4 linked regions of the Elephas maximus indicus genome follow. The protein of the gene in region 1 purifies or fractionates together with the protein of each later gene. This does not show direct contact. Links are inferred from orthologs where the notes say so. Each region holds a gene or a part of one and is shown in the gene's direction. Other genes may lie near its edges.

Region 1 (7,483 bases):
CCATGTAACCTAACATATTCACAGGTTCCTGGAATTAGGACATAGACATCTTTGGGAGATCACTATTCTGCTTACAATCGTGAAAGGAAGGAACTGTTTTGACTCCAGAATAACACCAATTGGATTCAGCCCACATCCACTCTCCTAGGGAGAAAAACTGATGGCCAAGATCAAGCCTCTGTAAGAAAATGAGAATAAAAAGTAGAATGTTTTAGAAGACATTTTTTTCCCCCATTCACCTAGTTTCCACTTCCCCTGCTTTTGGCAACACACCTCAACTCAGTTTCCCTTTGGAGAAATACCTGTCCCGCATTCTCAATCTGTGGGGTTTGACTTGAGATAGGCATGGGGCCTAGATCTGGCCAATCACTGTAATTCATTTCTTTGGCCACTGTGAGTGGTTCAAGGGTACATATGACCCAAACTGACCCAGTTAGAGTCAGTTTGGGAGATTTGAGGGAAGTGTTAAGAAAGTGAAGGCCTCTTTTACTAGGGTTGTGGTCTTAAAAAGCTATTCCTGCCTGTGAGTGAAGCCAGTTCAAAAGAAAATACATTTAAATGATGGAGAGAAAACAAGTCCTACAATTAAGCTTGATCCCCAGAATCTAGCCATGCCTGCAATTCCTCTTTGTGAAATTTTTAGTTATGCCACCCAACACATTTTCTCTTCATTCCTTCCTTCCTTTCCTTCCTCCTTCCTCCCTTCCCTCTCACCTTCCCTCCCTCCCTTTTTCCCTTCCTCCTTCCTTCCTTCCATCTTTCCTTCCTTCTTTTCTTTCCTTTGTTTTTGTTTTGGCAATGCAAATTTCTGTCACTTACAACCTAAAAACCTTGACTTAAAAAATTATGACAGAATATAATACAAATGAGAATGGAGGGTACTTTCACCACTTCAGGAAGATGGCTGCTATAATATATTGCAAAATGGAATGACATAGGTGCTTGTCTTACATACAGAAACAGACCCTGCGATGAAGAAAATTTTCCCGGGAGAAACCAGAATAAGGGAACAGACAAACATAAAAGGGTATGGGAAAAAGACAAATAAAGTTGAGATTGGCCTACTTCCTCAGGGGAAATCTGGAATATAAATTATACCTCAGAGGTATCCTGATTTGAGGCTAGGGAACTAGCTTTCCTACTTTAGCACCTGATAGTCATTGCTTAAGAACTGCCCCAGGGGACCTAAGCTCCCAGCTCTGGGTTTAGCAAAGCAGCCCCAGTAACAAGAGAGCAATTCTCCAAAGATTAACTGCAGGTACTGTTAAGTGGGGGCCAAAAGGCTGTGAAGCACAGAAACAGTAAAAGAGATCTGAGGGGATCTGCTACAGCTTGTCCATGAGAAAGAGCTTACAGAAGAAGACTGGAGAAAAAACGAGTGCCCCACCACAGAGCCTGGGACAGTGGCTGGGGATGGTCCAGCACCTACCTGTGATGGATGCAGTTAATGTCACAAGAAGGAGAGGATGTGGTGACATGAGCACTGAGTCATACGTCCTGGGAGGGAGCGCCAGGGGAGATGTCAGAGCTGTAACACTGGGAGAGGTCTGATGAGATAGGAAGTGGCAGAGGTGATATAAGTCGATGTCAGAGGAAGGAGGAAGGCGGCAGAGTAAGCATTTCTGAATGTACATGAATGACTGTGGCACCCCCAAAGACCCAAGAGTAAGGAATTGGGGCAGGTATTCCTGCAATTCTTTGATTAGACCTGAGTTGGAGAAATAATTATTGTAGGTTGGTAGGGCTTGGGGAAACACAGAGGACACACTTCTTGTTCTGCTACATTATAATTACTGAGTGCAAATGAGAGTGACAAGCACTATCAGATATTAAAGGTAAAAAATAAAAGACATCAGATCTGTCTTCTCACTTATTGCCAGCAAATTTGTCCCTTGTGCTGCTTTACCTTTCCAGGTCAAGAGCCTGAATTAAGTTTTCATTCATGCTTCCATAAAGGGAGATTTTTTAAAAAGTCAGACATTAGTCTAAAATTCTCTATCCATGTTGTTTAAAAGACTATTCAAAGAGATTATACTCATTAGTTCATTCCATAAATATTTTTTAATTAGGTACAATATTGCTGTTGCTGTATGCCACTGAGTCAATTCTGACTCATAGCGACCCTACATGACAGAGTAGAGCTGCCCCATAGGGTTTCCTAGGCTGAAATCTTTACAGAGGCAGATCACCAGGTCTTCGTTCCCACAGAGTGGCTGGTAGGTTCAAACCGGCTACCTTTTGGTTAGCAGCCAAAAGCTTGACAATTTAGCCACCAGGGCTCCTTGGTACCACATAAAACCCAAAACTAAACCCGTTGCTGTCGATTCTGACTCATAGCAGCCCTGTAAGACAGAGTAGAGCTGCCCCATAGGGCTTCCAAGGCTGTAATCTTTATAGGACATGGAAACTCTGGTGGCATAGTGGTTAAGTGCTACAGCTGCTAACCAAAGGGTCGGCAGTTCGAATCCGCCAGGCGCGCCTTGGAAACCCTATGGGGCAGTTCTACTCCGTCCTATAGGGTTGCTATGAGTCGGAATCGACTCGAGGGCACTGGGTTTGGTTTTTTTTTTTGAATCTTTATAGGCAGCCGTGGTGACGCAGTGGTTAAGAGCTCAGCCACTCCTTGGAAATCAGTTAATGGTACCACAGGAGGCGGATAAAAAAGAGAAAAAAAGAAATAGTCATGGATTGAAGATGATCCCACATATGTGGGATTAATAAAACCGTGATTCTGTGAAATTAGGTAGACTCTGACCTTGGCAAACTTAAAATCTCATGAAGGATGCAGAGCACATCCACAAGAAAACAGGTAAGAAGTGCGCATGGGACTTCAAAACAAGCATTATAGAAGAAAAAACTTGAAAGAAAGAGGGAGACAGAGAGAGAGAAAGAAAGAAAGAAAAGATCAGGTTCTGGTGCAGTTAACCGTAAAGGCCAAAGTCACACCACTAATAAGTAGAAGGTAGGTGAGTTTGGAAATTAAATAAGAAAAGGGTAGCAAGTTCTCACTTAGTAAGTAAATCGTATGTGAGAGAAATACTTTGTTCTTTTTCTCTTTATCATTAAACAACTGATTATCCAGAATACCAGTATATCTCTCCCTGCAGTCACATAATGGTCATCCCGTATTTAGACCAGTTTTACACGACTGCTTAAAATCTTCCCCAATTCCTAGGTTATGTGAATTTTATTCCTTTTAACTGTATCAAGAGGGTGATATTGGGAAGTTACTGAAAGGATTATCAGGAATTAGACAAAACTGCTGGTTGTGTCATCATGGGAAGCCACATGTAAACTATCACCAAGGTTACGACTGTAAACATGCTCGGACAAACTGTTGCAAACCATTACCAGATTTGGATGAGGTTTCCAGAGGAAGAGGACAACCAGCTAAACAAGCAACAAATCAAGCAACATTTACTGAGTACTTGTTTGTACAGATTATTGCTAGGAGGTGTTGCTAAATAAAACTAGAAAGAAAAGAAACCCCAGAAGTACTGTTGATGTGGCAGGTGGTGGTGAACAGAACTGATGGGAGAGGTGAGTAATCACCTCACCAAGTTCCGTTTGGGGGAGAGTGCTCAGACCTTAGGGAGAGAAAGAAAGATCTTACAGTGGAAAGAACGTGGGATATGGAATAAAATACCTGGGTTCCAATCCCAGCTTTGTCACTTAGGAGCTGTGCAACTTGGATACATTAGTTTTTTCTTCGAAAAACAGTTCTAACAATATTGATGAACACCTTACTTCGATTCTGACTCATAGCTACCGGGGTAAAAAAAAAAAAAGGGGGGGGCAGGAGGGCCATATTTAGCAAATAAAAAGAAAAGACGTCCAGTAAAATTTGAATTTCAGAAAATAATTTTTATAAGTATGTTTTAAGTGCTTCAAAGGATATACTGAAAATATTTATTCTTTATCTGAAATTCAAAGTTTACTGGAAGTCCCGTATTTAATCTGGCAATCCTGTTGAGGAGCATAGGGTCCATGTCGTCCGTAACTTTATACAGTGCATCCCCCAACTGCTCAATTTGTTTAATGACCAATGTATATACCCAGAGACTAACCCAGTGCCTGGCACACAATGAAGGCCCAATAAAGGGCAATCTTCCAATTATGGATTGGGTTGTGTGCGCGTATTACAATTAACGCTGCATGTTTTTTCTAATGCTTAGGGGAAAAAACCGAATGCTTAAAAGCGTCCATTCGTGCAGTTTTTCACACTTTAGCTGGTAGAGTTCAGCACTTGATAGGAAAATATTCAAGGGCTCGGAACGTACTCGTTGCAAGATGGACCCATAGGGTTACCGGTGGAGAGAGAATCTTATGCCCACGACGCTGACCAGCCTGCGGCAGGCGGCGGTAGGCGCTGACTCCTTCCCCCCTCCCCGGGCAGGCTTCCGGGATTTCCGCGCAGGCGCACAAAGCGCTCCGGCCCGGCGGGCCAGGCTGAGGGAGGCGGAGCTCCCGGGGCGCGTGCGCGGCGGCACGGACGCCCTTCCCTCAGCGGGGGCGCGCGGCGCGAAGGACTCACGGAAAGGGGGAAGTCAGGTGGCCGCTGCCGCCGCCGCCGCCGCCGCCGCCGCGATTTGTCGCCAGAAGAAAGATGGCGGATCTGGAGGAGCAGTTGTCTGATGAGGAGAAGGTAAGAGCCGTGGGGGCGGCGGAGCCTGTCCGTCGGAAGCCAGCACAGCCCCGGCGTTATCAGTCCAGTGTCTGGCCGCCCAGGAGGGGCATTGGCCGTCGCCTGTGCCCTGGGCTGCCCTTCCTTCCCCCTTTCCTCGCTGCGCCCTAGTGCCTGCCTCTGTCAGTCACCGGAGGCCCCGTGCGGGCGGCAGGATCCAGCCAGGCCTGCTTGCTCCGCTCCTTGTAGGGTGTGTGCTTCTAAAATAGGAAGCCGGAGCCGGCGGCTGCGACACCCGGCGCGGCGGGCGGGCGGGCGGGGGCGGGAGGAGGGCGGCGCCGCGGGACCTCGTCTTCGCCGGGGACCTTCTCCTGCCGCAGGGACCCTCTCTCTCCGCCGGGGCCCTGCGGGCGAGGGTGAGGGCCGTGCGCCCAGGTCTGGTGACTGCCAAGGGGTCTGTGTCCAGGCCTGGGAGCGGCTGACGGGCAGTGCCCAGCCGAGGGGCTGGCCTGAGAGTGAAGCCGGGATGAGAAGGAAGGGGAAAAAATCGCCTAGAAAGCAGATCTTCTACTTCTCGCTTCTCCTCCCCCCTTCCAGAAGCAAAATGCTTCCTTTTCTAGTTCTCTATGATTTTTTCTTTTCCCCGGTGGAGGTCTTTCCTTTCTTTTTTTGGTTTTAGCTGTAGGCTTTGCACCTCCCCTGTTCCTGAGAGGCTGCAGAGTTGCTCACATAATGACTTCGACACCCCCCCCCCCATAGTCGTTTCCTGCCCAGGTTGGCAGCAGCCCCCCAGGGAGCCGATTTGGTGGCGTCCCATCTTTCTACTAGGACTTCTGCCGAAGGGAGAGTGGATTGTGCAGCTCCTTTTACTGTATCTTAGATGCTGTGACAACGGTGGAACCAGATGAACAACTAAATTCTTAAACATTTAAAATAAGAAATCTGATCATTGAACTAGTTCTCTCTTACTCGTCGTTCCTTTGGCTACTGTGAGGCCTCATTCCTCAGTGGGAGGGTGGGGGACACTAATTTTGAGTATTCCCGGGAAAGGACCTTGACGTTTCTCAAACTCAGAAGTAACTGACGTAACATGTGAGTAACATGAATAAGGTGATTATAGTGTTCAGAAAGCCCACTTTTAATTTAACAGTGCCTCGTTTTTTAAGTTCCAATGCAGTACCGTGTAATAAAGATAAGTAGTTACATTATGGTGTTTAAAAAATCCTAACGTCAACCTAGGGATATTTTCAGTTGGAAACTCTGTGCTCCAAGTGTTTTTATATCCTTTTTTTTTTGTGTTGTACTGAAATGTAATGCTTTATCTCCCTACCCATTTGAATGAGCAGAAGCCAACCTCATCTTCATTTTTGGAAATCTTTTTTTTCTCTGTGCTCTTTGGTAGAAGCGATAGTAAAACAACAAAATGGGAAGAACTACAAGATTCTTTATAATCCACAGACGGGGTAGTTGCTGTGCAGTATTCTCGTGTGTTTTTGGTAAATAATCGTGAGCTGGTAACTGAAAGTGTATATGCATGCACACACACATTTAAAATTAAGTCATGTTAAAACGTTTTTAGAGAGATTGTCATGTTTTTATTTTACTGGGCTTAACTGGTGGTGATTAGTATCTGAAGTGGCTAGAAATCTAGCTGAGGAGAGAGTAACGCTGCAGGAGTTAATATAGGCCTGCCATGTGTTGTAAAGGCCTAAAATAGCAAAGTTATTTTTTTTTAATGAGATAAGATTCTTTATTACTTCGGGGCACTAAGCTCCATAGAGGGTGGGGTCTTATTCTCTAATCTTGCCTAGCACAATGTTTTATGACTAAATGAATGAAAATTTTAATTTAAAGGAATTTGGTGTTTTAGTTTTGGGTTTTTTTTTTTTTGTAATTTTTTATTTTAGTTTTGTAAGAATATTCTTTTGGTATTCTGTATATAGATTTCTAATTTGAGAAAAACACTGACTAAACTTATTTACTAATTTGAGAAAAACAGCAAACTTTTGGGTTAAATTTAAATAACTAGTTAAGTAAAATTTTAAACTGTCACGTCATGTTATCTGAATGTTCTTTTAATCTTTTTGGAAGAGGATGTTGGTATAGGATCAGAAATGGAGAGAATTTAAAGGTGGTATTTTTTAACTAATAGCTAAATCATGTTACTCTTCTGCCACCTTGTTTGCAGTTTTCAAAAATATACTTTTAAACTTTGGGATTTTTCATATTGATTGCAGATCTAAGGAAGGGAGGTTGTTAAGATTTATATAGAAATGTACTATATGCCGGGCTCGGTTAGACGGTACGTACATCTCTTAATTTGTTGTAAGTTTGAGGTGGGTAGTTTTATTGTTGCCATTTCACAGATAAGTCAAGTCAGGTTTCAAAAGCTTTACCTCACCCAAGGACACATAGGTAGGAAGTGGCAAAGGTGGTATTTGTACCTGAGTTTGGGTTCATGCTTTTGTGGCTTTACTCCACCTCAGACAGGTGATGATAGAAACCTCTTCTGGGTTTGTCTCTTGTTTTAAATTTGTTGACAGCTTATTTTGAAAAAGGAGAAACAATGGCTGTTTTTGTTTTTAGTAAAAATTGTAAATGCCAAACATTAAATAGTGTTGGGTTCTAAACTTAATTTGCACTTTGATCATTTTAGAACAAAGTTTATTATTGTTTAACACTTTTAAAAGTTCTGTGTGACTGGAAATTCAAAAGACAGAAAATTTATTTCTGCCTAGACATCAGTAGGGGTTCAAGCTCGTGCCAGAGAACACAACATAGGAAGAAAAACAGGAAAGTGGGAATGAGCAGGGAGTGTGAGTTATGTATACAATGAATTCATTTAAACAGTTGAGTGCT
Region 2 (7,116 bases), on another chromosome or scaffold:
TGAGGTTTTTTGTTTTGTTTTGTTTTTAACTCATTTTGGACTCCAAACATTCACAGCAGCCCATTCACTGTGGGGGCAGGGGCGGGTGTGAATAGGAAATTTCTAATTTATGCCACCCTATTTTTATGGGGCAGTTCTACCGGGTTGCCAGGAGTCAGAATCAACTTGACAGCAATGGGTTTTTTAAATGTAAAGTTTCTAAACTATGGTCTGTCTACTTCAATCTTTTCACTTCGAAGATCAAGGCTGTTGGGAAGACACAAAGCGCTCAGAAGAAATTGCAAGAACACTTAAGATAGTTCTGACAGCACAATATTTTTACTACTTTAGCTTTTCCTATCTTTTTTGTCTTTGTTACCTATATGACCTTTATTTGTACAATTGCTTTGTTTCTAACTCAGTTCCTTAGCCTCTCTTCCTAGCAAAATGGAGCCCTGGTGGCGCAGTGTTAAGGGCTCAGCTGCTAACCAAAAGGTTGGCAGTTTGAATCCACCAGCAGCTCCTTGTAAACCCTATGGGGCAGCTCTATTCTGTCCTATAGGGTCGCTAAAGATTTTACTGTTATATTTTTTCTCTGAATAGTAAGAGAATTCTGTATGTATGCCCAGGGAAAGGGATGATGTGCGGACATGGGAAAGGGATGATGTGCAGACATGGTAGACTATAGAATGAAAAGGCTTTGGTACTCATTGGTCTAACTTAGGGTTTATCAACCTTGCCACTATTGGCATTTTGGGGCAGACAATTCTTTTCTTTGTTGTGGTGGACTCTTGTGCATTGTAGGATGTTTATTAGCATCTCTGTCTTCTCCCACTAGACGCCAGTAACCCCCTTCCTCCTCTTCTGCCAGTTGTGACAACTGAAAATGTCTCCAGACACTGACAAATCTCTCCTAGGGGACAAAATCACACACAGAACCACTGGTTTGACTATATAATTTCCCACAAACTTACTATAATCCTTAACACAGCAGTTAAATGCTTAAGTATTTTTAAAATTCCTAATGTTCTGTCAAATAGCATCTTTCTTTTGCGTCTTAGTCATCTAGTGCTGCCATAACAGAAATATCACAAGTGGATTGTTTTAACAAAGAGAAATTTATTCTCCCACAGTCTAGTAGGTTAAAAGGTCAAATTCAGGGTGTCAGCTCCAGGGGATGGCTTTCTCTCTCTGTCGGCTGTGGAGAAAGGTCCTTGTCCTCAATCTTCCCCTGGTTGAGGAGCTCCTCAGGCACAGGGACCCCAGGTCCAAAGGACACACTCTGCTCCTGGTGCTGCGTTCTTGGTGGTATGAGGTCCCCCACTCTCTGCTTGCTTCCCTTTCCTTTTTATCTCTTGAGAGATAAAAGGTGGTGCAGGCCACACCCCAGGGAAACTCCCTTTACATTGGAACAGGGATGTGGCCTGGGTAAGGGTAGTGTTACAATCCCACTCTAATCCTCTTAACATAAAACTACAACCACAAAATGGAGGACAACCACGCACTACTGGGAATCATGGCCTAACCAAGTTGATACACACATTTTTGGGGGGGACATAATTCAATCTATGACATTTTGCATTGTACTGCAATCTCTGAAAATCTATGTCTTAACTGAAAGGTAGTTAGCTATTTTTGTTGTTAGTTGCTGTCAAGTTAGCTCTGACTTGTGACAACCCTATGGATAACATTATGTTGCCTGGTACTTTGCCGTCTTCATGATCACTGGCATGTTCGAGTCCACTGCTGCAGCCCTTGTGTAGTGCCTTCTAACCAAGGGGTGCTCATCTTCCAGATCTATGTCAGACAATATTCTGTTGTGATCCATAGGGTTTTTGTTGCTAATTTTCAAAAGTAGGTCACCAGGTCTTTCTTCCTAGTCTATCTTAGTCTGAAAGCTCTGCTGAAACCAGTCCACCATGAATGAATGACCCTGCTGGTATTTAAAATACTGATGGCATAGCTTCCAGCACTGTAACAACATGCAAGTCACCACAGTATGACAAACCGACATAGACAGGTGGTGGAGTTAGGTATCAAAGAAGTGGAATAGTAGACTGATATTTGGGTGGGGTACCACACTGTTATTACAGTCCTGTGTGTAGTAGCTGTGGAGCAGTATGTTTGAAAAGTGAATGAAACAACAACAGCTGTGAAGAGTGGTGGCTGATAGCTTCTGATTTCTGACATCTATAAGACACACAAGACCTATTAGGATCCCTGGTGGTGCAGTGGTTAAGTGCTTGGCTACTAACTGACAGGTCAGTGGTTCAAACCCACCAGTCACTCTTCAGGAGAAAGATGTGGCAGTCTGCTTCCGTAAAGATTACTGCCTTGGAAACCCGACAGTTCTACTCTGTCCGATAGGGCTGCTATGAGTCAGAATTGACTAGATGGCAATGGGTTTAACAGGTATAAGACACAAGGTCCAGTAGTTAGAATGCTCTAAGTTCTCCAGAACCCTTCCAATATCTTAAGGATGTATAAATTTTGCTCTGCAAAATAAAACAAGAATAGACCTACACTTGATTTATATATGTTTGAATTTTTACAGAGTGGACTTTCATGTAATTGGCAAGACTGTATCAAGAAAAAGACCTTCGTTATTCTTGGTTTCTAGGAACTTTTAGTGCTACTGGATCAGAGGAAAAGGTATTTGCTCAACTATTTATAAGGTAAGGAACCCTCCCTGGTGTCCCAGTGGTTAAGCGCTCCGCTGCTAACCAAAAGGTCAGTTACTGGAACCCACCAGCCGCTCTGCAAGAGGAAGGCGTGGCAGTCTGCTTCGGTGAAGATTACAGCCTTGGAAACCCTATAGAACAGCTCTACTCTATCCTGTAGGGTCACTATAAATCAGAATCGACTGGATGGCAATGAATTTACTGGTATTTATAAAACTTATTATTATTTGGACTTTAGCAGACATCGTTTGAAATAAGTACCAAACCAAACCAAACCCAGTGCCCTTCCAGTCAATTCCGTCTCCTAAGTAAGCACCGATAAATGGAATGACACTCATATTCACAAAAATACAGTCGTATTTTATGCTGGTATTTAATTAAAATGTTTATCTAGAAAACCCCAGTTAGAAAGGCAAAATGCCCTAGATTCTCCCAGTATGAATGATTCTTCTTCTAAGTCATATATTTGCATAAAAATTTTACCCTGTTTTAGGCATTTGGACATCTGACTCAACGGAGTATGAGGTTTATCTTTCAACATTACCAGAGTTTTTAATGTTTTAAGCTTCCTGTTTAATAATGACAATAAATTACTCCTAAAGACATCTTTGCATTCACAGTGAACAAAAAGACCATCAGAAACTGATTTCCAAGAACTCCAACGAACTAGTCATAGCAAAAAATATAGAGAAAAATTCTCAATGTTTCCCGTTACCTCACAAAAGGAAATGGCAATTATTTTCTTTAACACATTAACGTCAATATTTAAGTTCATAATGGCTGGAGAAAATAATGTCCAACGTCACTGTCACTCTGTTCAGATGTACAGAGAGTCAGCAATGGAATTTCGATCTTTTCTATTTTAGGGTGGCAACTTCCAATTTGTTGGACAGGAGTCCCAGTGCTATTTTCCACGGCTGGCAGCTCTCCGGGGGGGGGGGGGGGGCGCGGATCGCCAAAAGGCGAGACTCCCTCTGGGGCCAAGGTTGCCCCAGTTAGTCCAGGTACCAAGGGCCGAAATCGCATGTCGTGGAGTGCTGACTGCCGGTCCGGGTTCTTGTCCCACGCAAGGTGCGGCCTCCCTGTGAGCCCACTACAGTGACCTCAGACCCGGCACATCCAATCCTCCCTCAGGTCATCCTCTGCAGTGGTGGGAAGAGAATTAATCAATCCCACGTCCTTCCCTGTGGCACGCTTCTTGTTTCTGGTCGCCCCCGGGAACGGCAGTCTCCTGGGAGCCGGCCGGTGCGCGCCCTTCCCGGAGGGCGGGAGCGGGAACCCGGGGCGTCCAGTGCCCGCGGCGGCGCCCACAGACCCGGGGACTAGGCCGGGCGGGGCCGAGTTGCGGGTCCGAGCGCCGGAGGGGCTGGCGGAGCATGTGACCGCGCCGCGCCCGGCTGGGTGCGCACTGCCGCGCGGTGGCGACGGCGGGGAGAGCAATGGAGGCCGCGGCCGCCTGAGAGGCGAGTGCGCTGCTGCTAGTGCTGCTGCTACTGCGGCTGCTGGTGCTGCTGCTGCTGCGGCGGCTTCCGCGGGCTGTGCAGCCGCGTCCGCCGCCGGCCCGGGACCGCCCGTCGCCGCCCAGCCGCCCCGGGCACCTCAGGTGAGCGCCTTCTCGGCCCGGGGCCAGGACCAGACAATGGGGACAGCGGGTGGGCTTCTCCTCTCCACTCGCGACCCGCCGAGCCGGGCCCCCTCGGCACCCCGGGATTCCCGACCTTGCGCTGGGGGCGTGGGCTCGGCACGGCCGGCGGTGGACTCTCGGGGCGGCGTACCCGCGCGGGGGGCGCGGACCTGCGCGCCGGGTGCGCGGCTTTGGATCCCAGGCAAGGGGACCTGCCGTCGGGCTGCGCCCGGGGAACTTGCTGAGAGCGTGGGATCTTGTAATTCCCTCTCTCCTTCCCGCGCCTCGGCATCCTGTCCCGGGCGTCCCCCGCGCGACTCCCGGCTGCGGCGGGAGGCAGACGGAGACCTCGCCGTCTGGGACCTCGGACGCTGACCAGGCTCAACCCTGTCTTCCCCCAGAGCTGCATTGCTTTGTTTAACCTCTGCCAAGCCGTTTCGCACCAACTCTCGTTGCCCCAATTCTAATGAGCCACCAGTTTGATGGCTGAAGCAAGACAAAGGTTTTCCCTGTTTACTAAGAACTGGAGCCCGGAGACTGCACGTTGCCAGTGGTGTAAAATGTGTTTTCCTTATCATCTCGCAGGGGTTGTTGCGATGGTTTTCCTGGTGCTATAACCGTCCTTTCTTGCAGAGCTCTGTAGCGGCGAGATTGGACCTCCTAACCCTACAAATACGGTGGGTGAGGCATGGCTTTTATTCTTGGTTATCAGTAAACAGAAGGGCAGACCTTTGAATTTTATAATAGATGTTCTTACAATGGAGGCATCCTAATTATTTTCTGAATTCTGGATTTTAAGACAGAACATTAGTTACAAACCCATTGATGGGGGCCTGGGGGAAAAAGGAAACCTAGTAGGAAACCACCATGTGTTGTGAAATTTTAATATGGTTTTTGAATAATGGCTCAGAAACTGATCTGGTGTAGGTGAGGGAGTGTGTGTGTGTGTGTGTGTGTGTGTTGGTGGTGGAGAGGGAGTGGTTAGGATACAAAGGATAAGACAATTTTAATAAAAGGATCTTAGTAAATATCCTGTAGCAAATTTTCAATTCATTAAGTTGTCAGTTAAATCAATGTTCGCCTGTAAAAAGCGCTTATAGCAGCTGTTGAATTATATATAAAATAGCTAACATTTATTTGGCATTGTGACTCAGGAATCTGAATATAGGCAGTCCCCAGATTTACAAAGGAGTTCTGCTCCTAAATCTGTCTTTAAGTCTAATTCCTATGTAAGTCAGAACAGTTAGGGAGGGTTTGTATCTAAGGTCAGTTAGTCAGTTGTTTGTCTTAGTATACAGTGTACCTTTCTATGTATAAAAACATTAAAGGAACACTTCCAGATACAATAAAACATCTTTAACATAATACAGTAATAATAACAATAGTATTTTGATGCACATTGAAAAGTAGCACCCATTTGTTATTATGAACCATTGTATGTACCTCGAATTTTTAATAGGCTTTACAGGGATTGGTTCGTAATAGAGGTTGTACATAAACCGGATGTTTGTCACCTGGGGACTGCCTGCACAATTGTCAATATTGAGTATTTTTAACAAGTCAACAAAGCGAAGATACCTTGGCTACTATCTCTTTTATTTTATGAGAAAACTGAATCCTAGTTCAGTATATTTAACAGAAAATTGCCTGTAAGAAAAAAAATTCAAAGGTAGGTGTTTTAAAGAAACGTTTTGAAAAAATGCATCTTATACAGGTGATATGGTTGCATCCGAGAGTACTTCAACTCGTAAATGTAAAGGGAAGAAGTTGTGCTACTGGATTGCCTCTTTCTACTGATTATTTAAAATGTATTTTCTTCAAAAGCTCATTTTTACAGTCATCTAACATTAAGAAACTTTCATTCTAAAGTCTTAGCAGTACTTACTTATAGAGCGCTGGTTTTGGACTCAGGAAGATAATGCTTATTTGACATTCTTAGGTGATTGGTGTGAGAATCAAAAGCTATTGCATAGTTCTTTATAAATATCTTATCAGGAGGGATCACCAGTCCCTGGCGAAGGACATCATGCTTGGTCAAGTAGAGGGTCAGCAAAAAAAGAGGAAGACCATCAACAAGATGGATGGACACAGTGGCTGCAACAATGGGCTTAAGCATAACAACAATTGTGAGCATTGCACAGGACCGGGCAGTGTTTTGTTCTGTTGTACATAGGGTCGCTATGAGTCGGAACCGACTCGACAGCACCTAATAACAACAACATGATAAATATGTTATTGTTACTGCTGAATAAGGCAGCAGGGGTTTACAGTTTTCTCTTACACAATATTGGAAAAATTTATCTTTGAAATGAATATGAAATTCTCCAGGGTAAAGGACTTTTTTTTTTTCTAGTCCACATTTCTAATCTGGCACATAGTAGGTGCTCAATAAATAGTTGTGTTAAAAAAAATAAATTAATGAAAAATAAAAAATAGATGAATAAAACATGCATACATATGGAATTGATTTACACTTTTTTTTTTTAGTTTAATAAACATTTATTGTAGGCCTGTGTGCCAAGAATTGTGCAGTGTTTCCACATGCCGTATTTTTACAAAAATAATGCGTGCCCTTTGCGTTCGTTTGCCAACCTCACACTTCCCCAGTGAGGCACCCTTAACAAGCGCCGCCATGCCAATCCTCTTCCCGTGTTGCTATAAAATAAAAATTAGCATAGCGTGCTTAGGAAAATACCATGCCGGGAAGGGCAGGGCTGGTAAGCAGACGCAGAAGGTGGACATTATTTGTGTAAAAATACAGTATAGTTTATGAAAGCTTGGTGACCTTTTTTTTTAATTGTGTTTGGTGTCTTTCTATGAAGAGTGGGGCCT
Region 3 (7,761 bases), on another chromosome or scaffold:
TGTCGTGCAGTTTTGCCCCAGATTAAGGATCTGCGTACATAAATAAAATCCATCCAAGAAAATGAGAATACCATTTATGGCTGTTTCTTGCATATAAAATACTCCTTTCCTAGGCTATAAAAATATATCCGTCACTTCGGAATTTCACTCTGGCAATCTGTAGTTGATTTCATTAAAGTCATTTCTGTGGTAATTTTTTTTTTTTTTTTTTGGTTTTAGAAATGTATCAGTAACTCACAGACTGGATGCTTTCAAACTGTTGCTGGTCATAATTTCACTCTGCCATGTATTGCCCATTTCAACGTCAGCTCATTTCCGGTAGACTGGGAGTGCTTCACCGGCTGCTCAGCTCTAACAGGGGCACAGGGTGACGTTACCCACGCCTCTGCAGAGTGTGTGCTACACCTGTATCTCCTTTCAATATGCAGCTCAGTGTGTGGCTTAAGTAATGTGCTCCTTTTTCCAGAGCGCTTCCATGTCCATCCTCTCATTTAGTCCTGACCTCACCTTCATAGCGACCTCTTTGGTGATGTTTGTGCTGACCAGTGAATGGTTGTTTTGCTGGCACACACCGGTACCAAGGGCCTTTAAATATACATTTTAACTAGTCCATCTAGGCTTCAGTATTTATTCTCCATCACTCTGTATCTCAGTTTCCTCGTCTGCAAATAGGAATGGTTATAGGCTCCCTCTCAGGCTTTTGAGAGGGTCAGATGAGCTTAATGCCCTCAGTGGAGCCCCTGGGTGGTGCACTCAGTTAATGCACTTGGCTGCTAATGGAAAGGATGGTGGTTCAAATCTACTCATGAGTGCCTCGGAAGAAAGGCCTGGTGATCTACTTCTGAAAAATCAGTCATTGAGAGCCCTGTGGAGTACGGCTGTACTCTGGCACATAAGAGGTCGCCTTGAGTTGGAGTCAACTCGAGGGCAACTGGAAATGAGTTTAGAGCATTTGGTATCATGCTGCCACCTGGTGAACACTGGGACAGGTAGGCGGGGCTTATCTGTATTCTTTACGTCTTTACACCAGGTGTGATAGACAATGGCTAGTTGCCAATTGGGGTACTCAGCTTTTTGCCTTTTCATTTGCTTCACTTCCATTTTCTTTACCATGCTGACTGCTAAAATAGAGCTGCCACATGTGTTGCAGGGGCAGATGAAGTGTTGTCAGACAGAACAACTGACAGGATATCACTACTCCATACAGCCTCCATGTCATCTGGAGCCACAGCTGTGAACTGAGCTTAATACCATGATCCTTTGTGATCTAATGCCTTGTCTTTTGACCGTGACAGTTGAGGTAATCATTCTCACCTGGACTCCCACCAACATTGTCCACATTTGGACTACAGGACTCATCTTCCCTGTTTTTACTCAGCAAATCCTTAATATCTTCTTCCTGCTTCTCCCTGCACACAAATATATATGTTCCACATCATCACGTCACATTTTAGGAACAATAAGACTACTTTAGTAGGAGTATCAAGGTGAGGAAAGAGTGGTGACAATTTTCCTTGATGCCACCTAGTTAGGAAATAGAGTTGGCTACTCATCTAAGAATGAGGAAGAATAGAAGTGGTTTCATTGCTGGTCTCTTGATTAGTTGAATGAATCCATCAATATTTGTAGCTTACTTGCTCTGATCAATGCACTGTGCAAGGCAGTCTGCAGAATACACACAGGGAGTGTGTTTTAGGTCTTGCCCTTCGAGTTTTTATAATCCTTTAGCTACGAAACCAAACCAAAACCAAACCTGTTGCCTGCCATCAAGTCAATTCCAACTCCTAGAGACCCTATCATACAGAGTAGAGCTCCCCCGTAGGATTTCCAAGGCTGTGATCTTTGCAGAAGCTGATTCCACGTTTTTCTCCCCATGAAGCAGCTTGTGGGTTCGAACCACCGACCTTTCAGCCAGCAGCCAAGAGTTTAACCACTGCACCACCAGGGCTCCTTAGCTAGGAGACAGTGGAGATTTTTTGTCGGGAAAAGTTTGATTGTTAATAAAGAAATATTGAGAGGGAAGAAAATGTATAAAAGCGTTTTAACAGGTGAGTTCAGTGTTGTTAGCAAGGTGAGGTGGTCCAGGCTCTTCCATGCATTATGGCCCACCTGGTGCTGAGTTTGAGAAAGACTGTATTTGATATTATCAGGGACATCAGTGGTTGTCTGGGTCAACGTCTTGATTTATAGCCAAGAAGATGCACATGTGTGGAAGCAGCAGGCAGGTTGACATTGTGCTACAGCTCTGCGGATGCAAATCCATTCACAGCAGTGTTTCTCTTAGTATGTGTCCCCAAGCCTAAGCCTTGAGAATTTTAAGAGGTCCAATTGCCTTCATCTTCATTTGTACTTAATTGTTTTGGTAACTGTAGAACTAATTCATGTATGTTGTGGAAACTTAGAGAATAGAGATGGCAAACGTGAACAGAGTTACCTCTGAGCTGTGAACAGATTAATATTTTGGCCCATTTACTCTTTCTGACTAGGGGTGTCTGTGTATCTAATATAACATGAAAAAAATCCAAATCACTAATTGAATTCAAAACCTGCTTTTATTGTGTAATTTCTTTATGCATCCCACTATTATATCCCCTTATTTAGATTAGTTCCAGATTTATACATTTATAAATAAAACTGTGATAAACATTTTTGTACTCCCTCATAGTAATTTCCTTGGGTACATTTCTAGAAGTAGAGCCATTGAGCCATTGTTTCACACAGTCTACAATGTTGCATAGTAATATCCATGTCCTGTCCTTCTCCAGTGAGGTGGGAGCCTTGGGAACGGAAGGAAGAACCTTAGAGTATCAGTTGCTTTCTTGTATCCACCTCCCAGTTGGCACACTGACTTCTGTCCTTGCCTTAAATCTTTGGATAGGTCTTAGCTACTCATGCCTGGGATAATTAGACCCAGAAATCATATTAAAAAAAACAAACCAAACCCAGTGCTGTTGAGTCGATTCCGCCTTATAGCGACCCTATAGAACAGAGTAGAACTCTATAGGACAGAGTAGAACTGCCCCAAAGAGTTTCCAAAGAGTGCCTGGAGGATTCGAACTGCCGACCCTTTGGTTAGCAGCTGTAGCACTTAACCACTATGCCACCAGCGTTGCCAGAAATCATATAAGGTTTGGGAAAAGCATCCAGTAGCTAGCCTAAGCACCCCTCTCAGTGTCAGAGCGTACCCAATAGTTAGGCCTTTACCAATTAGGCCAGTGTAGGCTATAGGGCTGTCTCCCAACAACCTCCTTTTCTCCCTTTTTGTTCCCATTTAGCCATGATCCTACAATAAAATTGCTACTACAGTTATCCATGATACATTGTTTTTTGCTGAGTTTTTTTTTTTTTTTTTTTACTGCCCTATTTGCCATCTTTTCTTCCCTTCTTATAAGAGTTCAACTAATCAGCCATATAGTTGTTGTTGTTAGGTGCCATCGAGTCGATTCTGACCCATGGTGACCCTGTGTACCACAGAATGAAACGCTGCCCGGTCCTGTGCCATGCTCACAATCATTGTTATGCTTGAGCCCATTGTTGCAGCCACTGTGTCAAACCATCTCTTTGAGGGTCTTCCTCTTTCCCGCTGCCCCTGTGCTTTACCAAGCATGATGTCCTTCTCCAGGGACTGATCCCCCCTGAAACATGTCCAAACTATGTACAACATAGCCTTGCCATCCTCGCTTCTAGGGAACATTCTGGTTGTACTTGTTCCAAGACAGATTTATTTGTTCTTTTGACAGTCCACGGTATATTCAATATCCTTCACCAACACCACAATTCAAAGGTGTCAATTCTTCTTCGGTCTTCCTTATTCGTTGTCCAGCTTTCGCATGCATCTGAAAAAAAAAATTCGATTGAAAATATCATGGCTTGGGTCAGGTGCACCTTAGTCTTCAGGGTGACATCTTTGCTTTTCAACACTTTGAAGAGGTCCTTTGCAGCAGATTTGCCCAGTGCAATGCGTCTTTTGATTTCTTGACTGCTGCTTCCATGGGTCTTGATCGTGGACCCAAGTAAAATGAAATCCTTGACAACTTCAGTCTTTTCTCCGTTTATCATGATGTTGGTTATTGGTCCACTTGTGAAGATTTTTGTTTTCTTTATGTTGAGGTGTAATCCATACTGAAGGCTGTGGTCTTTGATCTTCGTTAGTAAGTGCTTCAAGTCCTCTTCACTTTCAGCAAGCAAGGTTGTATCATCTGCATAATGCAGGTTGTTAATGAGTCTTCTTCCAATCCTGATGCCCTGTTCTTCTTCATATAGTCCCCCTTCTTGGATTATTTGCTCAGCATACAGATTGAATAGGTATGGTGAAAGGATACAGCCCCAACGCACTCCTTTCCTGACTTTAAACCATGCAGTATCCCCTTGCCCGAACCTGCCTCTTGATCTATATAAAGGTTCCGCACGAGCACAATTTAGTGTTCTGGAATTCCCGTTCTTCGCAATGTTACCCATAATTTGTTATGATCCACACAGTCAAATGCCTTTGCATAGTCAATAAAACACAGGTAAACATCCTTCTGGTATTCTCTGCTTTCAACCAGGGTCCATCTGATATCAGCAATGATATCCCTGGTTCCAGCCATATAGAAAAATAGCCAAATGCTACCACTGACCCTCATAGTAACCCGTGTTGGCCTACTGTATGTTTATTACCTTAATTAATTTAGCATATAATTCTCCATTTTCAGTCTAAGTTTGTATTTTGGAAATCAATTTAAGTCGATCTGGTATGAAAAAAAAAGGTATGAAAGCATAATCTAAAACTAATAACGTCACTTAAGAATGCAATCTCTAGCTTTTAGAAAAGTTCATTCCATGATTTCATATTGTCATTCAGCAAACATTTACTGAGGGCCTGCTGTGCACCAGGCATAGTGTTCAGTACTAAACATACAAAGATGACCAAACCGTGGTCTCTGTCTCTGGGTGGGGTAGAGGGCGAATCACAATCTTGAACCCACCTCCACAAGAACAGATGGTTCTATCAGTAACAACTTGTCTACCCATAAGCAAGTAATTTCTTTAGCTCTCTGTTCCCCTTATCTTGTAAATGAGACGATTTCTGTGGGTTCTTTAATGTCCCTTTTACCTATAAAACTGTCAGTCTGTAATGATGGCAAATTTTTCTTGGCAATGCAGTATCGCTGCGTGGGCCCACCAGGTACACGTTGCCGTTAAAAGCTAACAGGGCACTGTCTAGTATATAATGCTTCACAGCTTCTGTCTCAAGTTAAAGCGTTTGAATTTCTAGTGATAGCTGCCTTTTCTTTTCCCACAATTTCGCTCATATGTTGTTCATAAATCTTAACTCTTAATTATGGGTTTTGGCTCCCTGTTAGGTAAAATACTTCACTTAACGATATTAGCCAAAGCCAGGCGTGGAGCAGCCTGGAAACAGTTAGTTGGCTTCTCCTCTCCCCCATATCTCCAGAGTCTTTGTTTGTGTTTGTTTGCCTGTTTATTTTTAGGGAAAGGAGGAGTTGTGTTTGACTCCCCCGAGGATGGTTACTTAGCATTGTCTACTTAGCTGGAACATAAGCTGTGATTTATCTGTGGCTTTGAGGTAGTAATATTATAAAGGTCCAGTTGCTGGAGCCCTGTCCGTTCCGGCATCCATAGGCCTAATTTCTGCTTGTAATCTGATTACGGGTCTGAGCTGTTGCAGCCTGCAGTCTTCTGCTGTGCGCTGAGTGTGTTCTCAAGGACACCAGAGCCTGATAGCTCAGCCCTGCCTGCACTGAAAAATCTCAGCCCAGCTTTGCTTAGACAGGCCTGAGGCCGTGGCTGGTTGAGGATCAGCTGTAGAGCTGGGTCTGCTACTGAACCTTTCTGTGTGCAGCCATGTTCAGAAGCCCAGGGATTTCCAGTTATTTGGGAGCTTTCAAGTTCTCTGAGAAACAAGGTAAGGCCAGAGAGATACAAGATGCACTTGTATATTTATTTTAGAACATAATGAATCCTTGGCTCCTACTCTTTACCTTGTATTTTTCTCTGTCCCTATAGTTATATTGTTTTCTCAAAGGACACTTCAAATAGCTAATTGGTTTTATAAAGTACCTTTGTCTTTCGGGTGTTGAAAATGTGAGTTTCTTTTTTTTTTTTTTTTCTGTTTTAAGTTAAAGATATTGCTAAACCACTCAAGCTTTTATGTAGGAAAAATGGCAAGTTAAGTTGGAATGCCCAAACTTTGGATCAAGTTCTGGCTATGTTGCTCTCTAGCTACAATGTTTTTCTAAAGCAGATGCTGTGTATCCTAAATTATTTCCAGTAGGCAGTGGTGAGTGTTCTGTCTTTTTATTAAATCTTCATGGGAGACAGTTTGGAAGAAAATACTGTCGTTTTAGTGCCTTCCTTTTGAGCACAAAGGAAAATGTATCCTTTCAATTTAACTACTGAAGTGGTATCGCATATTCAGTTCCCTGATTGAACAAAAATGAAATGCTGAGGCTATTTTGGATATCCAATTTGAAATTCAGCCCATGGTAGAGCAAAAGTGTTTTTGAGCACAAATGCACCATTGGGAAGTGAGTTGAACAGTTCAGACCTTAAATTCGCAATTTTATTCTACAACAGTTGATAGCTTTTGGAACTACAAGTCCCCTTTTCTAAAATATATAATGAGATAGTTGTATAATTAGGAGAAAAGCCTAGATGTTTAGTTGACATTCCACCTTTCATTTCTATTGCATTTCTGTAGTAGCTAGAGTTTCCAAATTCCATAATTAAGGATGTGAGTCGATGGGTAATGAAGTGTCAGCATCTGACGTATTGTGTACCTCTTTTTTCCTCAGACTTCTGCCCTCAAATATTAAACAGTGAAAGGGACTTCCTTAAGGGAGGAAGTTTCTGTAAGTGGTCTGCTTGTGGTTTTCCTGGTGGACCAGGGGTTTTGTGCCAAGAGCCATAAAACAGATGACTTACCATTAGACTGGTTATGAATTTTGCCTGTGCCTGGTTTTGATTAACCCCTTCACTCAGGATGTATGTTTTCCCTGTATGGAATTGTTACCAACTGACCTTACATAATATATGTCTTGTCTTCAGAAACAAACAACTAAGTGGCTAATTTGATGTGGTGGTGTCCTTTAGATGTTAATGAAAACAATAGAAGGCGCCGCTAAGCATGACCTGTTCTCCACACCCCTCTCCCCCACCTTTATTCTTTAAAATACCTCAGAGCTCTCAGGCGGTGATTATTTTCAACATTTCTGTTTACCTTGACCAAAATTATTTCATCTTTTGCTGCATTTTTTTTTCTGAGCCCATAGCTAGATGATCCAGTGTTTAGTCACTTTGAATCATCCTTGTTACTATAACCAATGTAGATGATAGCATTGAACTATGTCAGAGTATGGAGTCTGTTGGCTACTTTTCAGGAGGAAAGAAACGAAAAGAAAACTTGACTATGCAGAATTTTGATGTGAAATTTGATTCTTAGAAGGGGTCGTTTTTGTATGCATATTTCTTGCCTGCTTAGCAGTTTCCGTTATCTTAAATTTTATGTCAAAAGGAATTTTGAAAAATTGTTTTTTCCCATTGGAGCTTTTATTTACTTTTGTATTTATTTTCCTTACTGTGTAACTATTTCAATGTCACGTTATTTCTCTTCCCTTAGATTTCAACAACAAAAACTTAAGCTTCATTGGATTCCCACCTCAAAGAAAAGCTCCAAGGTAAAGTGGCCTTTGCTCAAGGAATCTTAAGTTTTGAAGATTTGTAATAGCTTTTCAGATTAGCCTCTTAAATTCCTAATTC
Region 4 (7,449 bases), on another chromosome or scaffold:
TGCCTTAAATAGAAAATAACAGTAAGATTAAATACAATGAATATTTTTAAAATCTATTACTGCTGCTACTGTTGTGACTAGTGGTCTAAGCTTGAGACTGTTTTCTCTCTCTTAAATTTGGAGGTGAGCAGGTAATGGAGATGTAGGTGTTAAAGGCAAAGAAGCACCAAGCCAAGACTGTCTTGGGACGTCAACAGAAGACTCCCATGAGAATGAGAAAGAAAACAGCTGCACCCAATGTCATTCAAGGCTGAGCCTGGATATCAAGGCATCCTCACGGTTACCTAACACCATCCTGTGTCCCACATGGGCTGCCTCCCACATCAGAGGAATCCAGCACTATCCCAATCTGCCTTGTCTGTGCCAGGTGTGAGTAGGTTCTGTGAAGGGAAACTCAGAGAGGAGGGGTTTATGCCTTGGATAGGATGGGGGCAGGGCTGTAAATCTTGCAATGGGAAGACACTTGGGCTCATATCTCATACACGGTGTTATGATCGGGTAAATTGCTGAGGAAGGTTGGACGTCACTTTGGGCTGGAAAATCAGCATATGCTTCCTGGAGAAGGTGACATTTAAGCTGTCCTAAAAGGATAGGTATGTTCCTGGGTGTGGCAAACGTTTAAGCGCTTGACTGCTAACCGAAAGGTTGAAGGTTCAAGTCCACCCAGAGGTACTATAGAAGAAAGGTCTGGTGATCTACTTCTGAAAAATTAGCCATTGGAGACCGTAAGGAGCAGGGTCCTACTTTGACACATATGGGGTCTCCATGAGTCAGAATCTATATGATGGTAAGTTTTTTTTTTTTTATAAGGATGGGTGGGATTTGGGCATATGGAAATTGTGGTGTGGGCAAAGGGCTACCCACAAAGAAGAAACAGGATGAAAAACACACTAAAATCCTGGGACCCATTTGGGAAATTGGGTGTGTGTTCAGGGCCTACCGTGTAGACCAGGATTAGGTTTTGGGGGAGAGAGGACTTGGATACCTTGTCCAAGGCAATGGGCAATGGGAGCCATTGATGGTTTTAGAGGTGGGGAGTGATGTGATGAGACAGGCTTTGAGCTCTGCACATAAGGCAGTTCTTGGGCCAACAGAAGCTAATTCCTTCAGAAATTCATTTGCACTTGAAGGGAATTATTTCTTTCTGGAATGCAATATGCCCTTTTTAGACTCCCTAAAGGGAGAGCATGTTGTATTCACCTGTTACTGAGCCAAGCATTGTACCTGGCATACAGCAGGTGCTTACAGACTGTGTGTTGAATTGAGTTTAGGGGTTGAGTTCCACCTGCAGTGAACATCAGTTCCTGGCTGGTCTTCCTTCTGGCTCGCTCTTCCAACGCCAGACCTGTCCAGGGACTCTGGGCTGGCCCCAAACTTACTCTTTCTGTGAGCTACTCTAATTGGCCTTGGAAGCCTTGTGGTCAAGTTTATTATGATCATGCCATAAACCAGGGCCAGTAAAGTTTCAAGGGAAGACAAGGCCAGCCAAGTGTCCTGGTTTATTGCTCACGAGACACCTTTATTGGGTCTGCCCCAGGGGAGAGGTTGAGAACTCTGGCCTCCGAAGCTTTGAGTTGAGTCAGCATGGGACGTGCTTCCTTTAGGTGCAAAGGTCCATTCGGGATATAACAAAAACTTTTTAAAAAGTTGTACACCCTTGAACCAGCGAGCTCACTTCTAGGCAATGTTTATCTTGAGAAAATAATTACATGTGGATGTTCACTGCAGTGTTGGTTATAATGGTGAATAATTCAGAACAATTTAAAGATCCAGTACTAAAACAAACAAACAAAAAAAACCCAAATTCGTTGCCATCCATTTGATTCCGACTCATAATGACCCTATGGGACAAAGTAGAACTGCCCCAGAGGGTTTCCAAGGAGCGGCTGGTGGATTTGAGCTGCCTACTTTTTTTTTTCACCTTTTGTTTAGCAGCCGTAGCTCTTAACTACTGCATCATCAGGGCCCTGATCCTGTACTAGAGGGTAGGTGATTTGTGTAATTGATGTCGTTGTTAGGTGCCATTGGGTCAATTCCAACTCATAGTGACCCCATGTGACAGAGTAGAACTGCCGCATAGGGTTTTCTAGGCTATAATCTTTACGGGAGTAGATCTCCCAGGACTTTCTCCTGTGGAGCTGCTGGGGGGGTTCGAACTGACAACCCTTTGGTTAGCAGCTGAGTGCTTAACAGTTGCGCCAACAGGCCACCTTCCTATGCAATTGTCTCTAATATACCCACTCCTCGCTTAATTTTTTTTTTTCTTCACTTATTGACAGTTTTAGTTAGGTTCAAAAGACCAGGTTGTTAAGTGGAAACCAACGTTATATGAAAATGGAGGATGACTATATCATTACATAACTGCCAAATTTCATCATTACATAACTGCCAAGCCACTGAGAATCATGGCCCAGCCAAGCCGACACATAACCTTAACCCTCATACCCAGCATTACTCTTGCTTCATACCTTGGTGTTCGTTACTGCCAGACATACATTGTTGATGCACAAAATAGATAGTAGATTTTTTACTATTGGAAATGCAAAATGTCAGATAACAAGATAGTCAGTTAGCGAAGAGTCAGTGTAGAGTCCTATATAAGCATTAGAGTCTGTTGTATAGCTATTGACATGAAGGATGTTCATGATATATATTTAAAAATAAAATAAAAAGAGTATATGGTCTAATTCTATTTTAGTTTTGGCAGAAAGTTCCCATTTACATTGGCAGATGTCCCGGTTGACATATATCAGAATGGTAATAGTGGTTGTTGGCTCTGGATGGTGGGATTTAGGGTTATTAAAAAAACTTTTGTTCATATGTATTTCTGTATTTTAAAATTTTTTTGTACTTACCATGTAGGGCAATTGAAGAGGCCTAGTGAAGCTACAGAGTCGCTATGAGCAGAATCAACATGAAAGCAAAGGGTTTTTTGTTGTTGTTGTTTAGTGAAGGGGTGGAGTCCTGGTGGCTCAATGGTTAAGCACTTGGATGCCAACCTAAACGTTGGCAGTTCGAACCCACCATCCTATCTGCAGGAGACCAAAAACCAAAACCAAACCCAGTGCCGTTGAGTCAATTCCAACTCATAGCGATCCTATAGGACAGAGTAGAACTGCCCCCATAGAATTTCCAAGGAGTGCCTGGTGGATTCGAACTGCTGACCGTTTGGTTAGCAGCCGTAGCACTTAACCACTACGCCACCAGGGTTTCCTCTGCAGAAGAGACCTGAAAATCTGCTGCAAATATTACAGCGTAGGAAACCCTAGGGGTCAGTTCTACTCTGTCCTATAGTTTCGTTGTGAGTCGGAAGTGACTTGATGGCACACAACAACAGCAGTGAAGGGGTGGGTCTCAGCCAGAATACTGTAAGGGCTTTGGATGCATAGGAGTCCCTGGGTAGTGTAAATGGTTAACACAGTTGGCTGCTAACCAGAAGGTTGGTGGTTCGAGTCCACCAAGGTACCTCAGAAGAAAGGCCTGGCAATCTACTTCAGAAAAATCAGCCATTGAAAACACTATGGAGCACAGTTCTACTCTGACATACATGGAATTGCTGTGAGTCAGAATCAACTCTACGACAACTGATTTTAGATAAAAAGGGGGCTGTCACGTCCTTGAGGAAGTCTAGTCTCTTAGGCAACTGAGTTCTCCACAACTTAGCACCAGGGTCGGCAAACTTTTCTGTAATTATCTGCCAGAGAAAAACTAATTTTTATTATAAATACTTTAGGCTTTTTATTATAAATAAGTATTTTAGGCTTTATGGGTCGTATGGTCACTGTCACAAATGCTCAACCCTGTTGTAGTACCTTGAAAGCAGCCACAGACAGTGCACAAATAAATGAGTGAGGCTGTGTTTCAATAAAACTTCATTTACAAAAATAGGAAATGGGCCAGATTTGGCCTGTGGGCCACAGTTTGCCAATCCCTGATCTAGAAAAAAACAGTAACAAAAAAGCAGCTTGATTTTCTTAGTGAGTGCTCCAGCCAGTTCAAAAACAGCATAAACAGTAGGAAGGGGCACACCAATGAAAACTGAAAAGGCGGATGTTTAAAGAGATCTTGGCAAAAAGATAATGTTGTCACCTTCCTCTTCCAAATGGGTGGTTGCACCTGGGAAAAGGGCATTGGGCCGAAGCAATCTGGATTTTGCTTTGGCATTTCTAAAATGCAAAAATCTTGTTTAAAAAGCACCTGTTGAACCCAGTGTTCCCCCAAATCTCTTAACCATAGGACCCATTTGTGGGTGTGAATGTGACCTACCCACCTCTTTTTCCTTGGGGAAAAGCCACCTCCAGCTGTCCCTGTGGATTCTAGAAGTCTGAAATGTCAGAGGTGTGCTGAGCTTGAATGAGGAGGCCGTTTACCTGAAATTAAAAACCAAAAAAAAAAAAAAAAAAGCCTTTGCGGTTGAATCGATTCTGCCTCATGGCGACCCCATGTGTTACAGAGTAGAACTGTGCTCCATAGGGTTTTCAGTGGCTGTAATCTTGACAGGAGAAGCCCCGGTGGTGCAGTGGTTAAGCACTCGGCTGCTAACTGAAAGGTTGCCGGTTCAAACCCATTAGCCGCTCTGAGGGATAAACATGTGTCAGTCTACTTCTGTAGAGATTTACAGCCTTGGAAACCCTATGGGGCAGTCCCACCCTCTCCTGCAGGGTTGCTATGTGTTGAAATCAACTGGACGGCAATGGGTTCTTTTTTAAAATCTTTACAGAAGCAGATCGCCAGACCTTTCTTCTGCCGTGCTGCTGAATGGGTTTAAACCACCATCCGTTTGGTTAGCAGTCGGGTGCAAACGGTTTGTGCTGTGCTGAAATCAAGACTATGCTAATTAAGGCAATTCTTAACAGAAGTATTAAAACTCAGGAAGAAACTTGGCTCTCACCACTTCTCCTGCCGGCAAAGGAATTTCATTTAGTCTCTCAGCAAACCTTTTTGAGCACCAGCTGTTTATAAGGAATCATGAAGGATGTAGAAGATTTAGTTGTGTCTCAGAATACAGAAAGTGGGACTCCAGAGCCTGGCTCAGAGCCATAGTAGATAGATAGAATACAAAGCACATAGTAGTATATAGTAGGTACTCAATAATTGTGTATTGGAATGAATGAAGAAATGAAGAAATGACCTAGGACCACTGCCATGGGGACAGAGAGGATGCACTCCAACAGCATTTGACATTTCGGTGGGGCACTTCCCATGAGTGGCAGGGTGGCGGGGCAGCAGAGTCATATCTAAAGGATGGCAGGTATGGCATATGCCTTGGGCTCCACTTGAAGGGGAAGCGCCAGTGAGCAGTTTAATTTGGCCTTCACGGTTTCTACTGCCAGCTGTGAGAGATCATTCAGCAATTTAAAACTAATTGCCGTAGGCCTACTTTTCATAGATGTGCTTCTGTTTAGACCCATCTGTGGCCGCTGGGCGGACAGACCATACGCGTGTACTGCAGCCCTGCTCTTGTAGAAGGACAAGCACATGGGTTTTGCCTGTCCACTCTTGCCCCTTCACACAGTGCACCCCACGGGATAGATTTGCAGATTTAAGGGCTGAGGTCACATTCCAGAAGGTGCTGGAAGGTGTCAGGATAGGCCCACACCCATCACCAGATGGTGGCATTCCCAGGGTATGGTACCCGGAGATGACTGAGTGAATGGTTGCCGAGCGCCCAGATCGGATCTAAGGCTGTAATTATGAAAGATCGTCAGCAGCTGTTCGAATGAATCAAAGCCTCCCAGTCTGGGAGAAAAGCTGCCAGACTGCTAGGTTTTGAATGGAAGTGCTTCCCTTGCCTTCTACCTCTGTGGGCCTCTCGGATTTCCTAGGAGACTGTGAGCTCCGTGGCTGTTGCCCTCAGCACCCAGCACCCAACCTGGCATTTGACAGGTAGGCAATCCGTGTTTGTGGAAGGAGCATTGGAAGGATGGACAGGTGAATACTTTCAAATGTCTCCTGTCTGATTTCAGTAACTGTTGCTCTTGGCGACTCCCTTCCCAGGAAAATGGTTTTCTCTGCATGAAATTGCAGGAAATGGGAATTTCAAAGTTTACAAATCAATTTAGGGAGATCGAGCTTGAGGACTTGGCGGGTTCAGCAGCAGCAGAGAAAGACCCATTGCTACTGTCACTGCTTGAGGTCAGACTGATGTAGTCTCGTTCTTTACTGATGTCCGCTACGGCTTCCTGGCCTTCCAGGTGGACACCTTGCTTCCTGTCTGCTGCCCATTGCTGACCTCCGTAATAAATGTTAAAAAATAATACAATTAGAGATTGCTCAGATCAGTTTCCCTTCTTTCTTCAGCCAGTCCCAGGGAGCTCTTGTTTACCTTGCTTTGGCCATGTTGTTGTGCCGTCAGTGCCATCGGTTTGGTTCCAATCTGTGGTGACCCCGTGTGTTACAGAGCAGAACTGTTCCATAGCAGTTTCTTGTCTGTAATCTTTATGGGAGCAGATTGCCAGGCCTTTCTTTCATAGCACTGCTGGGTGGGTTTGAACCACCAACTGTTCGGTTACCAACCAACTGCAAACCATTTGTGCCACCTAGGGCCCATGGCTTCAGACATAGTGCTCAGCTAATTTAGAAAGAGTGAATGAGGCTACCCCAGGAATAGCAAGCAGCTGGCCTCTGTGTGCCTGGGCTTCTGAAATGTTTTGGAAGAGACCCACGTCTCTTAAATCAAGCATAGCATATGTGATCCATTTAAAGTGAGGTTTAAAGCCTATATTTAAATTGGTTGCCTTTTACAACAGGTTAAGTAAAAATCGGAGAATCGAGGGCTTCTGGGTTTGGGAAGGACTTGAAAATATTATTTAGCCATCCACTATCATAGCTTAGAAACTCTTTTACCTTCGTTCATTGATGTATTAATTAATTCACCGCACCATTCATCAAACCATATTGACATATCAGGCATTTGCCAGGCATTTAAAATTAAAACTGGCGAGGAAGCACAGGATATTAAACAGATTACAGACAACAGAGGCACTACTCTGGTAAAGAGAAGTGCCTACCAAGAACCTTGCTTTCTCTTCTCTCTCGTCTTGCCCTTCCCTGTGGGATGGCCCCTAAGGCAGATCCAAGGAAGCCAACCCATTGCCATCAAGTTGATTCCGACTCACAGCAACCCTATAAGACAGAGTAGAACTGCCCCATAGAGTTTCCAAGGGTGTAATCTTTATGGAAGCAGACAACCACATCTTTCTCCCATGGTGGGCCTGTGTGTGTGTGAGCGAGAGGGGTGTTCCAGAGAGCAGGCGCAGCCCGTGCAAGGCCCTGCAGAGGTGTTTGAGGACATACTGCTGCTGCTGCTGTTGTTAGTTGCTATCAAGTCAATTCCTACTAATGGCCCCCCACGTGTGCAGAGCAGAACTGTGCTCTGTAAGGTTTTCAGTGGTTGTGACCTTTTGGAAGGAGATTTCCAGGCCTTTCTTCTGAGGCTCTTCTGGGTAG

The links.
Region 2: the proteins of CAPZA2 (region 1) and CRACD purify together in Homo sapiens (affinity purification with mass spectrometry; 3 studies listed by BioGRID and IntAct, counting the BioPlex papers as one, with this or other methods). This does not show direct contact. The link is inferred for Elephas maximus indicus from reciprocal best matches to the Homo sapiens genes CAPZA2 and CRACD.
Region 3: the proteins of CAPZA2 (region 1) and SVIL purify together in Homo sapiens (affinity purification with mass spectrometry; 3 studies listed by BioGRID and IntAct, counting the BioPlex papers as one, with this or other methods). This does not show direct contact. The link is inferred for Elephas maximus indicus from reciprocal best matches to the Homo sapiens genes CAPZA2 and SVIL.
Region 4: the proteins of CAPZA2 (region 1) and KIAA1671 purify together in Homo sapiens (affinity purification with mass spectrometry; 3 studies listed by BioGRID and IntAct, counting the BioPlex papers as one, with this or other methods). This does not show direct contact. The link is inferred for Elephas maximus indicus from reciprocal best matches to the Homo sapiens genes CAPZA2 and KIAA1671.

What each region holds. Positions count from the first base shown.
Region 1 is NC_064826.1:32,826,421-32,833,903, reverse strand, and holds the start of CAPZA2 (F-actin-capping protein subunit alpha-2), read left to right. Parts: upstream 1-4,463; 5' UTR 4,464-4,606; coding exon 4,607-4,645; intron 4,646-4,811; exon of another isoform or gene 4,812-5,133; intron 5,134-7,483. UniProt on the Homo sapiens protein: F-actin-capping proteins bind in a Ca(2+)-independent manner to the fast growing ends of actin filaments (barbed end) thereby blocking the exchange of subunits at these ends.
Region 2 is NC_064823.1:105,074,047-105,081,162, reverse strand, and holds the start of CRACD (capping protein-inhibiting regulator of actin dynamics), read left to right. Parts: upstream 1-4,096; 5' UTR 4,097-4,263; intron 4,264-7,116. UniProt on the Homo sapiens protein: Involved in epithelial cell integrity by acting on the maintenance of the actin cytoskeleton. Positively regulates the actin polymerization, by inhibiting the interaction of actin-capping proteins with actin.
Region 3 is NC_064822.1:24,550,370-24,558,130, reverse strand, and holds the start of SVIL (supervillin), read left to right. Parts: upstream 1-4,757; 5' UTR 4,758-5,847; coding exon 5,848-5,908; intron 5,909-7,621; coding exon 7,622-7,679; intron 7,680-7,761.
Region 4 is NC_064840.1:31,707,387-31,714,835, reverse strand, and holds the start of KIAA1671 (uncharacterized protein KIAA1671 homolog), read left to right. Parts: upstream 1-4,438; 5' UTR 4,439-7,449.